Linked DNA regions of Struthio camelus. The protein of the gene in region 1 interacts with the protein of each later gene in a biochemical or structural test. Links are inferred from orthologs where the notes say so. Each region holds a gene or a part of one and is shown in the gene's direction. Other genes may lie near its edges.

The links.
Region 2: the proteins of INPP5D (region 1) and CD244 interact in a biophysical measurement, tested with the Homo sapiens proteins (2 studies listed by IntAct). The link is inferred for Struthio camelus from reciprocal best matches to the Homo sapiens genes INPP5D and CD244.

What each region holds. Positions count from the first base shown.
Region 1 is NC_090950.1:6,084,839-6,093,004, forward strand, and holds the start of INPP5D (phosphatidylinositol 3,4,5-trisphosphate 5-phosphatase 1), read left to right. Parts: upstream 1-4,946; 5' UTR 4,947-5,057; coding exon 5,058-5,191; intron 5,192-8,166. Other genes in the region: NEU2 (sialidase-2), read left to right, coding at 1-49. UniProt on the Homo sapiens protein: Phosphatidylinositol (PtdIns) phosphatase that specifically hydrolyzes the 5-phosphate of phosphatidylinositol-3,4,5-trisphosphate (PtdIns(3,4,5)P3) to produce PtdIns(3,4)P2, thereby negatively regulating the PI3K (phosphoinositide 3-kinase) pathways.
Region 2 is NC_090971.1:5,240,421-5,247,591, reverse strand, and holds the start of CD244 (natural killer cell receptor 2B4), read left to right. Parts: upstream 1-4,010; 5' UTR 4,011-4,113; coding exon 4,114-4,201; intron 4,202-6,483; coding exon 6,484-6,795; intron 6,796-6,866; coding exon 6,867-7,136; intron 7,137-7,171. UniProt on the Homo sapiens protein: Heterophilic receptor of the signaling lymphocytic activation molecule (SLAM) family; its ligand is CD48.

The sequences.
Region 1 (8,166 bases):
AATCTTTGTCATGTTCACTTTGAAGCAAGCCTTTCCATCAGAGTCCTGAGTGTCAAACCTCCTGGGGATCCCTCAGAAAACCACCTTTCCTGATCCTCCTCCTCCTCCTCCTCTCTTTCACTTCTTGTCTTTCAGCGAAAGGTTTTTCTTGCTCCTCTTTGGCCCCGAGTTTGTCATTGGCTTGTGACGTCTATGGATTACAAAGTCTATTAAACGTACTGAAACTAAACGTGTTTGGTTTTGTTTTCCTTTACCTGCTCTCCCTTCTCACTCATCCCTTTCGCTGCTGTTTTAAACATCTCGTCCGCAAAACAGGCATGACTTTCGTACGAGGCGTTTCACCTCAGGGCCTCCGATAGGCCCTGAGGGATGCTTGGCAAGGGATGTGTGCGTGGATGGTGCAGGGACCACGTGGACAAAGGTGGCAACGATTTTATGCTGACCTATACTCGGCAAACTGCGGAGAGAGAGAGAGGAGTGGAGAGGACACTGGGGTTCCCCCTCCGCCTGCAGTTATCTCCTCCAGAAAACTGCTGCAGCTCCGGTTAGGTGCGCTCCTTTTAGCCGTCAGTGCTGGAAGCTCTAGCTTTCGGGGCTTGCCAGTCTCTCGTATCAGAGAGGCCGCATGAGGCTGGAGTCAGGGTTGCCTTCCTGAGTTCCCAGGCCCCTCAAAGACGTACTTCTGTCTAGCGTTGCCTTTTCCCTTGCTTCCCGTGCTGCCTGCTCTTGCTTTGCTGCCCCTTTGCTTACGCTGCAATAAGCAGCTGCAACTTCTCACATGCAAGAAAACCACAGTCTCACGTGGCACAGCCCTTCCTTTCCCTGGGCAGCGACAGCAGGACACACGCAGGCAAAATGCAAGGTTTGGGGATGGGGCAAGTGGCAGAAATGGCACTTTGCCTGTATCAAGTGCAGGATCGGGACAGGTCTGCAGAGGGAGCTCCCAATTTATAGCCAGGAGGGGAAATAATTGCTGGTCTTCTTAACACAAGTGCTAAGCTATAGTCCGTAGAGAAATGGCTCTTAACTCAGGCAATCCCATGCCTTGAAAGTATGGCTCTTGCTGTTAGAGATCGTTGTTGGCATATGGGGCAGTGCATCTAACAAATACCATGCCCTGCTTCCAGCAAATTGCAAAGGCACGGAAGCGAGAGGAAGGGGACTTGACCAAGCCCTGAGTAGCATGAGAGCGCTCAAGCTAGAAGGCTTTCCAAAGCAGACAGATTTTTTCAGCAGGTTTCTGAAGGAAACAGTTCCAGTTTTGGTGAGAGAGAGCCTCTTCTGAGGCTGAGGTGCAATCTGAAAGGAGGTATTATACAGTGAGTAGATAAAGGGAGTGACCAGAAGTGAATCACCCCCGAGGGAGACACTTCAGAGCAGATGGAGCCAGAAAGGGTTTGACCATGTCTCTAGACAAGATTCTGCTTTAAGTACCAGTCCATCTTTGTTTGCTGTATGCTGTGTGTGTGCACGTATGGAATAGCACCAAGGAAAATGCGTGCATTTGCTCTGTTGATGAAAGAGGGTCCCTGGTTTTTCTCATTCATCTAGGTTTGTTGCAGGGCACCTGGAGCTGCTGTACGAAGGGAGCGAAGAGATCTTATAGCCTGCGCAACTACGTCTGTAATTTGTCAAGCCTTTCCCAAGCAGCAGGTCAGTAACACACTGGGCTGGAGCAGCTGCAAAGCGCCGAGCAGCTCACTAACCAGTACTTTGTGGGTATTATTCATCTGCTCTTTTGATGTAGGCAGAGTCTAAATACGCTTTTGTGGCCAATAGCCTGTTACTGGTGCCTGATGAGGGAATGTTATATTTAGACTCCAGCATAGCTAAGTGCTGTCCTGTAGCTTTAACTTCCCTTGTCAGGCATACTTCTATTTCTTCATGCTTCTAGACACAAAAATGCCTCTTAGAGGGCTTTTCCTCTGGCCAAGCCCAGCAGCACTCTTGCTGATGCGCTGTGCAGGCTGGCTGTGTGGTGGGTTGTTGGGTGACCCCTGCGCATCTTGAGTGATGCTGCAGACGGTATGTATCCGCCGGTCCTTGACAGGCTGGTGAATTCACTGCCAGCTGGTACAATACTACCAGGACATCTGTAGCAAACCCAGTTCAGATAAAAAATGTTTACTGCAATGTCTTAGAGACAACTTAGACTAACAACCTAACATAGAGAAAAGTAACGTTCGCTTTGTCCATAGGCTGCCAGGGCTGCAATTTTTGATTATCCAACATTGAAACGTGTCCCAGTTCTTTGACTGTGGCCTCATTCTTTCAAGTAAATTAAAATGAAATACTGCTGCTGCTGCGGTTATCTAAGAGATTCTGTTGAGTCTGCTTTGGATTTGCCTGACAGGTGTACCTATTATTCTTCTGTTTTATGAGGGGAGCCCTTATGTGGTGCTTTGCCCCAACTGGGCGATGATAATATGCTATTCTAAGCATATTCGTTGTGGAAACCTAGGGTTGCGCTTGCTACGTTTGCAGTGTCGCCCTCTGCACTGTATCACCTGGCACATAACTGAGGGCACAGATAACTGCACTTCTCTACGGCAAATGTTGTAGCTCCCCTCTAGGTAACTCCTCTAATACTTTCTTTCTCAGATCTACTCCCTGGCCTTCTCCGACACAGACATGAATGGGAAGAAAATTAATGGTGTAAGTATCTGCCTCCGTCTCTGTGCAGGACAGAGTAAGGTACATGCTATCCTTTGGGAATCAGGCTGCAGATAGCTCAGGACCTTGCAGGGATCAGTCTTTCCTCAGTGTCGCAGACTTCACGTGCTAGCTCCATGAGAAGTAAAACAGACACCGTTTCCTTTTCAGGCGGTGCTGTGTGTGAGCCGTTAGGGATCACACAGCTGTTTGTATTAGTGCTTTGGGATTCACCTTTTGAGCACCTGGAGCTGTACTGTGCTTTCTTTTAGGACTGAGGAATCCATACAGAAACCAGCCTGCACATCACAGTGCCACAGTCATCACACGTTTGGATCCCATCCCCTTGTTTATATCTCCAGGTTGAGGAGTGCTGTGCAGCAGGGCACAGGAGTCACACATCTGATGGAAATAACAGTAGTTTGCTAAATGCTGAAGCCAGTGGAGGGATGGGTTAAGTGTTCAATATCCAGCTAATCAGTCTTTCAGCTATCTGAACAGGGCTTGTACCCCTCTGTTACCCTGTGTTAATATGCCGTAGATCAGCAGAAGCTCTCCAAAGACAGTTTCATTCCAGCAGCACTCAGCTTGTGCAGCAGCGCCGTTCGTTCTGCATCAACGTATGGCTCCGCTGCATAGAGAGCGCCGTGAGGTCAAGCAGCGCTTTGACGTTCAGAGCTGCCCTGCTTCCTGCTGCAGCTATACTGTAAGTATCAGATGTCAGAGGTGAGGTTAGCAGCACGCTGCGGCAGGGCAAAACAGTCAAAGTGGGTACACAATCCCCTTGCCACATGCAAGCACTCTTCCCAGTGGAGAATAGGATTTGCAGCCACACCGTAGCTTACAAGAGCTTACAGCTACCGTCCATGTGGAGCTACGTCATGGCTTTCAGCATCTGACTCCTATTTAGGCACCTAAACCAATGAAGTTTGGTTCCCAAAGCCCTTTGTGGACCTGAGTGAAGCCGTAGTGTAATTTTGGTCTGCAAACAGTGCTTGCTCAGCGTGGATAGGAAGCTTTGCACAGAGCAGCTCTGCCCGTTCAGCGAGGTCCTACAGTGGTCCCATACTTTTGCATTCTGAACTCTGCAGTTATGCTTGTGCCCACAATTTGAACCCAGCAGCAGAAATTAAACTGGACACTGCAGAGTAGATGTGCAAGCGCGAGGAAGGCAGACAGGGATGAACACTACGTTGTACTGGTTTATGCAACCTCGCATCCCAAGTTCTAGTTTCTCCCTGTCTCGTTTGAGGCTGCGCTCTTCCGCCTTGCTGCAGGGGAGCAGCAGTATGACCCGTGCACCATGGCCGCAGCACTTCCCAGGCGCTGGGAGGTGAGCTTTGCATAAGGCTAGAAGTGTCTTCACATCGCCTGGGGACTCCCCCCTCGGTACTCAGAGTCCCCGCCTGGCAGCTGCTTTTGGTTACAGCTCAAATGTGGATGTGCAGAAGCACTTTCCTCAAACGCAGAGTGGCTGGAGGCACCGGAGAGGCACCTGCGTGTGCCGTGTGGCCAGTGCCCCCGTAGCAAAGTCCCTGCTGGCTGCAAACACGCCTTGGTGGCGTTGCCTTGGACTTGCAGCACTGAGCATGCCACGAAGAGCACAGGCAAGTGGCAGATGTACAGACTAAGAAAAGGGAAATGAAAGCCCCAGTTCTTCCCTCTCTGACGTAGCTGCCAGAATCGCTCTGCTCCATCCCTCCTTTGGGGATTTGGAGTAGGAAAGACCTTTGAATCCATCTAACAGTAACTATCAGGGAGCTTTGGTCACAAACTCCCAGACAAATCAGCCTGTAAGCCTGTCCCCATGCCTGGAAACACGGAGGGGTAATTTTAGTCAGTTCTTTCAAGTCCCCTCCTCACACCTAGCTATATGTGAGGACTACACAAGGCAGGAATGGGGCAGTCAGCGCTGAGGATCCTAATGCACGAGGTATTTCTGATCAGTCTAGGATTTATTTATTCCCCATGGGAACCTGCAGTGGGCAGGAAAGACGGACAGAAAAAAGATGGAAACTCAAAGGGTCTGGTAACAGATCAGAAATGGGACAGGAGGCCACCAAAGCCTGTGGGACTGAATCAGCTGGGGAGCGGACCGGCTCCCCAGCTGGGACTTTTGATGCAGAGTGTTAGGATGTGAAGGGGGAGGGAAAGGCAGGGAACAAGGGCTTGCTACTCGCTTCACTTGTAGCATGAAGAGAGAGAGCGGGGGCTGCAGGAACATGTCACGCTCACTCTCTGAGCTGTTTGAGTTAAGGAAGTTGTCCGCGGCTGAGTTTCCTTTCCCTCTCTGCGCTATTGAAACAGGAAGCTGGTGAGCTAAAGCTGCTTGATCGTTACACACAGGCACACAGGCAGCTCTGGCAGCTCCTGTACTGACATTCAGGTTTCCTCCAACTCCAGCTATGGATCAGTGCTGGTACCACGGCAACATTACTCGCTCCAGAGCCGAGGACCTGCTCTCCAAAGTAGGCAAGGATGGCAGCTTCCTTGTGCGGGCCAGTGAGTCAATTGCTTCGGCGTATGCACTCTGCGTGCTGTAAGTACAACTTTCACCCTCGCGCTTCACGCGGACACTTTTGTCCCGGCTTGTGCAGGGGGCTACCCCCTGTGCGCTCTCCGGTACAGAAGCAAAGCGCCGCTGTACCCGTCAGGAAGGTGCAGCCCGCATCAGCTGGTTTCACTTGACTGGGCCACAGGGTAGGGTAGGGTTGGGAGCAGGTTGAACAAACCCATGTATTTACTGCTGGAGTAGAATAAACCACCCTAGTCTCGCCCCTGATTCTGAAGGAGAGAATAATCCAAGATACTGTTGTTGCATTCAGAGAAAATAACCTCTTGACCTCTTTGAGCCTGTTGGCAACCTGGCTATTTACATTTCACAGCCAAAGTAGTGAGCGTGGTGCCCTCCCAGGCACTTTCTTACCTTGGTTCAGTGTGTGTTTGTCCCACCAGCCTGTACGGTGCTGGGTGCCACTCGACGAAGGGTTTGCAACAGTCCCTGGGGCTGTGCGTGGTAAGCCTGGTGCGAGGGTGATTCCACCTGCCCCACTGACGTGCCTCACGGGGGAAACATTGTCCTGTAGGAGACAGGGAGAGGAGAGACGAGGTGGCAGCCCTGAGCCCTGATTCAAGGCTGGGGCTGGGAACTGGGGAGTGGGGCCTCCTGTCCTGGGTTTGGGAGGAGCAGGTGTTATTCCTGGAGGCAGGAGCGGCTGGGGCCAGAGAAGACCGAAGCCAGTAGGTGAGGTGAAGCTTGAGGCTTTTGACTTTGGATGACAAGAGAGATAACACAGTCACCGTCCCCTCAGAAGAGATCAGGAGAGCCTCAGTGGGACCGTGCCCTGCCATTATGCAGCAGATTAATAAAAGGTATTTCATACCCCCGCCTCCACTGAAATTACAGGCAGGTTTCTCAGTGTAGCTTCTTTCTGAAAGCATATGTCTTGCAGTGGCAAAGGCGCTGCTGCTGTTTCTAACCCTGGTCTAACTGTTCAGCGCTGAGGTCAGACTTTTGGTGACAGCACGGCCTGCTGCAGAGGGCATGTCTTCCGCAGAAGAGCGTGGGGCTGAGTCGCTGCCCCCTAAGTGAAGTGTAGGTGTTGGACTGCAAGAGCTCAGTGGCTGGGGAAGGGGGGATGTTGGTAAAGTGAGGAGAGCCTCCGGGCCTGCTTGTAATAGCAGGCGGAAGGGAAGAGTTTTGTCTTTCTGGAGGGAGCAGGGCAAGAAGGGCGGCTGCAGATGAATAGCCAGGGCAAGCGGGAGGAAGGAGGGGCAGTCATGTTACAGAGGCTTAGTGCCCAAGTTGCCAATCGGGGAACGTTTTTCTGGAGTAAAGACTGTGGCTTCCACCGAGCGGTTTTTGTATGACCCCTTCGATTAGTCTTTTAACCAGTAGGTACACAGAGGAAATATTTTTAGGGGGTGACAGTGGGGACTGCAGAAAGGGAAAGCGCTGTAAAAGCGTCTACTAACGTGTATTTGCATAAGTTTTTCCATTGTAAATGTTTATGCAGCCAACTTTGAAAGCCTTTTGTGACTTGAGAGACATGGGATCAGGAAGTAGAAACAATGTCATGACCAGGATTTTCTGAAGCGGGAGCCAAAGGTTATGTTCTTAAATCCATTCTGAGGTGGCTGACATGAATGGTTTGATTAAAGACATGGGGAGCACCCAGCCTTGTCAGCCAAGAGGGGCAGGATCTGTGGTGGGACGGCCTGGCATTCATTACCGGCTGAGAAAAGTCACACAGACTTGCCTCAAAGTACCTACCAAGCTTTCCGCTTATGCTGGTTTTAGAGCGAGTCTGTGAAGAGAAAGGGTTAAAGGCGGTGAATAAGTCTTTCCCTCTGAATGTCACCTTGACAAAATGTACAGCTTTGCTGAAATCGTCCTCAGAGATATATCGGTTTCAGCTGTGTTATTGACTGGAAGGTGTTTGAAGTTGGAGCTCTTCAGTCACTTTTTTTTAAAAAACGGGCTGGCTGGAGACAAAGAACGTGAGAAAGAGAGAGAGGAATTGAAAGCCTGACTGCAAAAGGCTGTTTCACAAAACAGGATTGTACTGAAATTGAGAAAATATGGGTGTAGAGAAGCAAAACAAGACACCATGAAATTTGCTCTGAAAAAGAAGTGTCATTTTCTGCAAAGCTCTAATATTTACCGAGCAGATCAGTCTTAAATCCAGCAGAAGGGCTTATTATTAATATTTTTACCTTATAGAATGAAATAGTGATTTTCCTGCAGAGCTGTTTTAGGAAAACAGGATTTGTATAAACATAGACAAGCAAGGAAGGTGTATTTGCAGGGCATTTTACAGGTGCCTCCCCTCTTTTTCTAAAACGTAGAGCAGCAGCATTCGGCTTAGCAGAGAGCTGAAACAGTCAGCAAGTACCCAGGGAGCGCTCCTCCCCCCGGCCGCGCTGTCTGCTGCCCTACTGGTCATCCTGCCCCATAAAAGGCAAGAAGCAGTGTCATTTTCCTCCTCCTTTTTCTGTGCCTGGATCGTTTGATTTGCCAGTTTATTGGCTAGAAATGGGCCCTCAAACCCGCCTGGGGAGGAATGCCTGGATCCTGAAATCAAAAAGAGTCTGCTTGGCTTTAGCAAAATGCTGCACCTGAAGCGGTGTCGCTCCAGCAAGGGATCTTCTGTTGGTGGCTCCTGCATGAACGCCTGCGGGGTTAAAACCGGTTCAAGACAAGACCCTCAAAGCCAGGCCACACACAGCTTTCAGGTCCCTCTTGGAGGACACCTGCTGTGAGCTGCCATTTCCAGCCCCCAGGTGGGGGACAGCCTCTCTTACTGTGCCCTTACGAAGTGCCTAGCGTGGCAGTCCTATCTACGGTTAGGATTTCCAGGCCCTCCCAACTGCATGCTGCATCATCAGCAGGGCATGACAGTAGGTACCCTGGAAGAGGTCAAGAGAAAATCCAAACCTCGTTCCCTTTCCTCCTCCAGTTTGGATTAGAGGACAGAGAGATGAGAAAGTACTTGGGGACATGTTTCAGCTGAG
Region 2 (7,171 bases), on another chromosome or scaffold:
TCCTAATTCATAAATCAGCAGGAGCGAGTAATTTCCCCAGGAGAGCATTTAGATGGGAGATTGAATGAGTAATTTACTGGGAACATTAAGACGGCACCAGATAACTTATTTATGAGAACTTTTTGACGGATCTACCACTCAATAATTTATACCACGCAGCATTTAGTCAGGGTCACCAGTAAATAATTCACTTATTATAAACTACATAATTTTTTATGAGACGTTCAATTATTATCTCGCGCCAGATTCGGGGCCATGAACACGCAACCGATGACGTTCCCACCGGAGAGAAGTCCCGCACTGAGCCCAGACACTGCCGTGTGCTTGGTGCAGGGGTGGGTGCAGCACTAGAGGGATCTGGGGGACATTATGGTGGGGAGACCCAGGCCCAAGCTGGGCCCTGGCCCTGGCAGCACAGCTCCGGCCGGGACGGAGCGTGGGTGCATGCTGCCACCTCTTGGGCAGAGCCGAGCTCCGGGGCTGGCAGGATATTTTGCCTCCAATCTCTCAGTTAAGAACTGAAGCGGATGCTGGACGGGGTGGGAAGGGGCTGCACAACCAGCCTGTTTCATTGCTTGGCCTGCGGAAAGCGGATTCGAACAGGAGGCACCCAGATCCCTGCGTTTGCTTTTGCTGTTTGCAAAGGGGAAGGGTGGTGGCTTGGACCTGGGGGTGAAAGCCCCATGCAAGGGTGGTGCAAGTTTGCGGGAGCCTGCTCCCTGGCGTGCATCGGCCGTCACCTTCGCCACTCCCAGCAGCTCCCAGCTGGCCCGGCGGTGGTCGTGGGGGATGCCCGAGCAGGAGCGGTTCAGATGCGCTGGCCATTTTCCCGGCCCCTAGGTCAGGAAGGGCCCCGGGAAGGCGTCGGAGCTGGGGAAGCGGCCACGTGTCCCTGGGCCAAGCATGCCGCCACACGAGCAGCTCTGCCTGTGCAGAAACCCTGGCCCGCGGGAGCCCTCCTTGCTTTCACCTCTTGGGGGCCAAATTTAGCTGGAAGGGGAACGAGAAAGCACAGCTGATGCGCTGAATAAAAACACCCTCGCCTCTGCAATGCGGTGCTTCAAGCATGCAGCATCTTCCCTTCCTCCTCAGTGTGGTCTGCGAAACGTGGCAAACGCTTCCCTTTCATTCCCTTCCTGTTTTCTTCCTCCCTCCTTTTCTTTCCCTCCTCTGCCATGGCTCCACTCCCCGGGCCAGCAGCTGAAAGAGCGCCTGGCAGAGGGAAGCTCCCCTTAATGGAAATTGTTCCCTGTGTGTTGAACTGAGCCGCGGACAAAAGCGCTAATTAATCGGCTCAGCCCATGCTCTGAGTGGAGGTTTTCCACCTTGCAAAGTGCTGCTTTTCCTTTGTAGCCTTAATGAGTTTTTGCTCCTCTGCCCACAAGTGGTGGAAGGGGCCAGAGGAGCCTGCACAGCCCTGTCCCACTGGGACCTGCTGCAGCCGGCTCCGCAGGGATGCACCATGCCTCAGTTCCCCACTGCTGGAGGGGCCCAAGCTGTTCCCCCCGCTCTGGCCGCAGCATGTCTGTGGGCTCTGCAAGGGGGACCCCAAACGTCAGCTTTTCACCCCATATCGTGGCAAGTGCTGGCCACAAGACCAAAATCACCACTGGATCCTGCCACGTGACACCCCGAAACGGCCGCCATGGGGAAACGCCGAGCCCAAGCCTGGCCTCTCCCCTGGTGCACACAAGGGAGTGATTGTAGATGGGAAACTACCCTGAAACGTGAACGATTAACAACGAGGTACCAGCACTGCTGACGAATAATTAGTGTGTCTTTCCGCCCCAGGGGAGAAATCAGGGCAATTCATGTGTCGGCGCAGGGCAGGTAATGCGCTGGGGTTTCTCCCTTGAGGAGGTGGACGCGGCAGGGAATATATTCCCATCCCAAGTACGAATTTCAGTGAGAATACTTTCTGTTCAGTTTCTGCTCATTTCTGCTTTAGTTTCTGCTCGCCCTTCGCCTCAGAAAACCAGCTCTGGTGTTGACAGAGCAGCTGCTGGAGGGACGGAGCTGACCTGCGTCCCTCTGCTCACCCAGAGCCCAACTGCTGCTGCAGCATCTTCCGAAGACTTTAACGGGAAATTGTTCCCTTTCTGTCCATTTACAGAGCCCCTCTGCAAAGCCCTTCCCGCAAAGGCTGGAAATAGCTCCTGGTCGGGGCTGGTTGCTGCCCAGAAAGCAAGCCGCTCCTGAGCGAAACCTGGCTTCGTTCCTCAGTTTCCCCCACTGCACCCTTGCCGGAGGGGCTTCTCCAGCCCAAAGCGGCCATTTCCCAGCTGGGAGCTGCCAGGCAGGGCTGAGCAGATGACAGGGCAATAGGCTTAGAGCCAAGCCCCTAAGGTGATTAGCAGCGTCGAGGGGATTGCAGGGCAGGAGCAGACGGTGGCGGATCAGCTCAGGGGCTCGTGCCGGGCTGCGCACTCCTGCTGGCCCTCCACGCTCCTCCTTCCTTCAGCCTCACTATTCCGCAGCAGGATCATCCTGCTGGGAAGGAGGCTTCCTGGGGCAGCAGGGACTCGGGGGATGCCTGGCCTTCGGTGGCACTGTGCCCCAAAATCCCAGGTATAGAGGGAGAGAGTCAAAGCTGCGGTGAGGGGCTGAACACCCCCCGGCAGCGCCCTGACAGCCATGTCTCAGCTCACCGGCTTGCACACGTTCCCCTTGCAACTCACCTCCTCCTTCCCCTTCCCTCTGGGCTGGTGGGAAATACTTATTCCCAAATAACAATTCTGAGTTATTTTCTCCTAAAGTATTTTTGTAATCAAAGGCTAATATAAAGAGAATTACGTTTTCCAGAGGCGGAAAAGAAACTTCAACTTAGATCTCACTCACTACCCTCCAGGAGCCCTCCCGTGGCTCCTAGAGCAAGTTAAAGTGTTATGAACAGAATACTTTTTCCCAGGTTTGCAGCGTTTTCTTAAATATACATATATATTTTTTCAAAATTACTCCTTCTTAATGGCCCAGTTGAACTATTGCAGTGAAACTTTCCAGCATTCAGAAAGCAGAGTTTGGTTTCAGCTTTGGCTGCTTGGGGTTTTTCTCCTTGCCATGAGGCTTTTTCTGACCCTGCAACAAACTCTTTGTACTAGTTTGCATGAGAAAGTAAACCACACCAGAAAGGCTACCTGAGAAAAGCTTTTAAAAGCAGTTTCTAATGAGCTGCCCTGCCCAGCCCAGCCCAGCCCGAGCACCCGGTGCAGAGACTGGACACAGCTCGCCGTGCTGCGGGAGCAACTGTTCTCTGAACAGGAAAGGGAATAAGCTTGCAGTGAGACATGATGCAGCTGTGGGCGAATACTGCTGGCCTGAGGTCTGATCCTGGGAGCCCCGAGGCTGCCCGGCCCTGTGCAGCCCCCCCAGCGGGGGAGATGCTGATTTGGGGAGTACTGCACGGGGTTAGATGCTCTTCCAGCTCCAAAAGCCCCCCTGCCCCAGCCTTTCCACCTGGGATGTGCAAAGCTGGGCAGGAGTGAGGGAGATCTGGGCAACGGGGAGGAGGAGAGCGGAGGGATGCAGCTCACAGGGGGATGCTGACCAAGGAGCAGGTCCTGCGCTATAGAAACCCCCGGCTGGGTGCAGCATCCGCCCATTACCCGTGGGGGCTTTGTCTGGGACGCTGGGCTTTGAAGAGCCAAATTGTGCTAAGCCTTATCCCGTGATAGGGTTGTCCTAGCTCTTTCCCATTTGCAGGGTGACACTGCAGCCCCATGGGCATAGGGGAGATGCTCGGAAGTCACTTCCACTTTGGGGCTGTTTGGAAGCCTACAAATGCAGGTCACTGCAGGGCTTTTTTTGGGGCCTGACTTTGGGATGCTTGACGCAGCTGCGGTTCACAAATCATAAAAGCCTGCTGCAGCCTTGAGAGCATCACTCCTCCTCCTCCCAAAGCTGAGCAGTAAAGGAACAGCCCCCCCCCCCCAAAAACGCAAGCCTCCCCCCCAAACCATTTGTTCCACCACGTGGAGGATGTTGCATGAGCACAAGGGGTGCGCAGAAACCACAGGGGACAGAGGAAGCTATTGACGGACTGTCGCCGTCTCGGAGGAGCTTCTCATCTCGCCGCCTGCCCCACTGCAGGAAGCCTGCTCGCTGCCGGCGTGGAGCATGGAGCTGCCAGGCGCCAGGTGCCACCAGCCAGCACTGCCCCAGCAAGTGCTGCTCTGCTTCATGCTGCTTGCCGCCGCTGGGGAAGGTGAGGAGGAGGAAGGGGCATGATGCACGTGAGCTAGGCTGCAAAACGGGGCTCACTGCGGCACCAGGGACAAACCGGCTTGTCCCTGCAGCCAGGATGGGAGGCTCTGGCTGGGCAGTGGAGCAGGGACGTGTGGGCAGAGCTGGCTGGGTGGCTCAAGGCGCTCACAGGGACGGATGCCCAGTGGGAAGCAGCAGCCGCAGGACAACAAAGCTAGTGCTGAGGAGGGTTTTTGGCCTGTGGCGCGCTGTCTCTCTGCACCCAGCCAGGTAAACATGGCCCAGACTGTCCCAGGGCGCTGGTTCCCCTTTGCAGGCAGCGCTGCTGCCTGCTGGGTGCAGGGCCCAGGGTTTGCTCGAAATAAGCTTTCTTCCTCCTGGAGCAGCGCCCAAGAGCTGCATTCTGTCCAGACCTTCCCAGAAATGCAGCTTTTCAAAGCTAGTTTTCTCTGCTGAACAAACTCAGCACCTTTTGCCTGTGATTTCAGCTCAAAGCTGGAGCGACTGAGCCTGCAGTGGCCGGCAGCTCAGCGCCAGCTGCAAAACCTCCCCACTGACTGGCACAGTTAACCTAAGCCGTGCTGCACCGGCCCCACTGCTCGTACCAACTGCAGACAGTGAGCTACAATCACACCTTTGGACCACGGGGCAGATTTTGAGTCATTTTTTCCCTGAACTTGCACGCCCACGCCCCAGCACCTGCCTCTCTCCTTGCTGACGGTGCCGGGTGGCCGGGGTCTCCCACTGGACGCGCCACAGCTCGCCGCCACGCTTGGCCCTTCACAGGGTGCAAACTCCTACCTTGGAGACCAGCCCCAGCCAGCATATGATCGCCTCCGTGCAACAAACCTGGGCTACTTTTGTCCCTCCTGCTTTCCCATCCTGTAGGGAGGACCGGTTTGATTTTTTCCACCACAAACTTGTGCTCCTGAGCTGTTTTCTAGGGTGGAGAGGGCAGTCGAGCCTCCTGCTGAGCCACACAAGCGCCTGGGGGCAACACATCCCCCAAGAGCGCTGGGATAAAATTCGTCTGATATAACATATCTTTTGAGGCTTTGCTTCCAAATTTCCCTTTGGTTCCTCTTCTTGCAAAGAGAGGAGGCCAGGGCTCTGCCCAGGCTAGAGGAGGCACAGCCAGGATGAGCGTTCCCCAGGAAAGCGAGGATTTACCAAGGGAGAGGAGGACAACTAAACAAGTGAGACTCGGCTCCTAGTGCCTTCAAGGTGCTCACACCACCAAACAGCCCCAAAAGCAGCAGCTGTAGTTCCTCCTGCTCGAGGGTAGTCTGGTGCCAGGAGTGATGGGAAACAGCCCCAGGTGTGACCCATCAGGGCCAGAAGCCGATAAACAGCTCCTGGGGGCTAGGCCAGCTCTTTCCTTTCCTGGGGGAGCCCTGTTCTGGGCTTTCTTCTTTCCTGTGCAAAGCCCCAGCCTGCTGCAGGAAGCTGGGGCTGAGCAGAGCTCCTGGAGGCTGGAGCTTTCCCTGGAGAGGCAGCATGAGCTGGGCTGTGCCGGGGGGGGTGTGCATGGGTGGCATGCACAGGCAGCATGCATGCGCAGCATGCATGCGTATGTGGCCATGCTGTGCAAAGCTTGGGCACCCATGGTGGCTGGTGCTCACTTGGAGCTGCGTGCAGATAGGAAAAACCACAGGGCTGTGCGCACCCAGACTGGGTGGCCACTTGGGTTTATTTTAAGGGTTTTTTATCTCAGCTCTGCCAGAGCCCTTGACATCCGGGGCTGGTGTGAAAGAAGTGGGGGAGGCTCAGCATGGCTTCATGGCTTCTCAGTGGTCCAGCAGGCAACTGCCCCTCTCCTCCCTGGGCAGGGCTGGTAGGGAAGGAGCTGGGGTGCAAATGGGCCACCTGAGTGTATTATTGTAGGGTCTGCAACCCAACAGCTGGGCAGTGCAAGGGGCAGGTAGGGAGGAGAGGATGTTGCGTGCACATCCGTGCACTGTGAGGGCAGAGGATAGGGTGTGAAAGATAAGCAACTGGCTAGGGATGGTACTGTGCAGGAGCCTGGAGCCTGTTCCCAGTGGTGTTGCAAGCCCCCACCTCCTTTCTGGGGCCAAGGGGTGCCCCTGGGATGGGACAAAAGGGATAGAGATGGTGGGGCTGAGCTTGCCCAGGGGGATGCGTGTGGGGCTGCACCGGGGGAGCCAGCCTGCGGGTCTGGGGCACAGCCCTGCTCCACAGCGGGTGGCCGTGTACCCTCTGCTGGTGCCCTGGCTCCCTAATCCCCCCACTCAGCTCTTTCTCCTACTGTTTGCGAACCCCTAGGGTGCAAGGACATAGTGGCAGCTGTCGGAGGAGAGCTGTGGCTGGTGCCAGAGGAACCATCACTGCTCTGGGAAAGCATTACCTGGAGAGTGAGACTGGACAAAGGGGAGCGGCTCCGAATCCTGACAGCTAAGAGCAGCAGCGTAGAGCGGCCCCCAGTTAGTCGTTTTAGCCAGCGAGCCATCTTCCATCGGGGGACGCTCTCCCTGCAGATCAGCCTGGTCACGGAGGCAGACAGTGGTGTCTACGCTGCACACTTTGAGAACGCATCGAGCTTCGAGATTACCAGCTGCTTCTGTGTGTCAGTGCTGGGTGAGTAGTCTGGAGGCCGCGCTGCCACCGTGGTGTTGCCCCGGCCCCCCTCACCGCCTCTGTCCTTCCAGCGCCCGTCGGCCAGCCGGTGCTGGATGCGCGCGTGGTGCTCCGCGAGCACAGCTTGTGCAGCCTCTTGCTGGCCTGTGCTGTCCCCGGCACCCACAACGTCACCTACCGCTGGTCCCGTGCCAGCGCTGCCGGAGCCGTGGGGCACCAGTCCTCCCTGCAGCTGCAGCTCCGAAAGGACGCCAACCACACCGTCTACCACTGCAATGCCAGCAATGCTGTGAGCTGGGCCACGGCCAGCACTGATGTCGCAGCACTGTGCAGCCCCCCAGGTGATTTGCCCTCGGCTGTGTGAAAGGCTGGATTT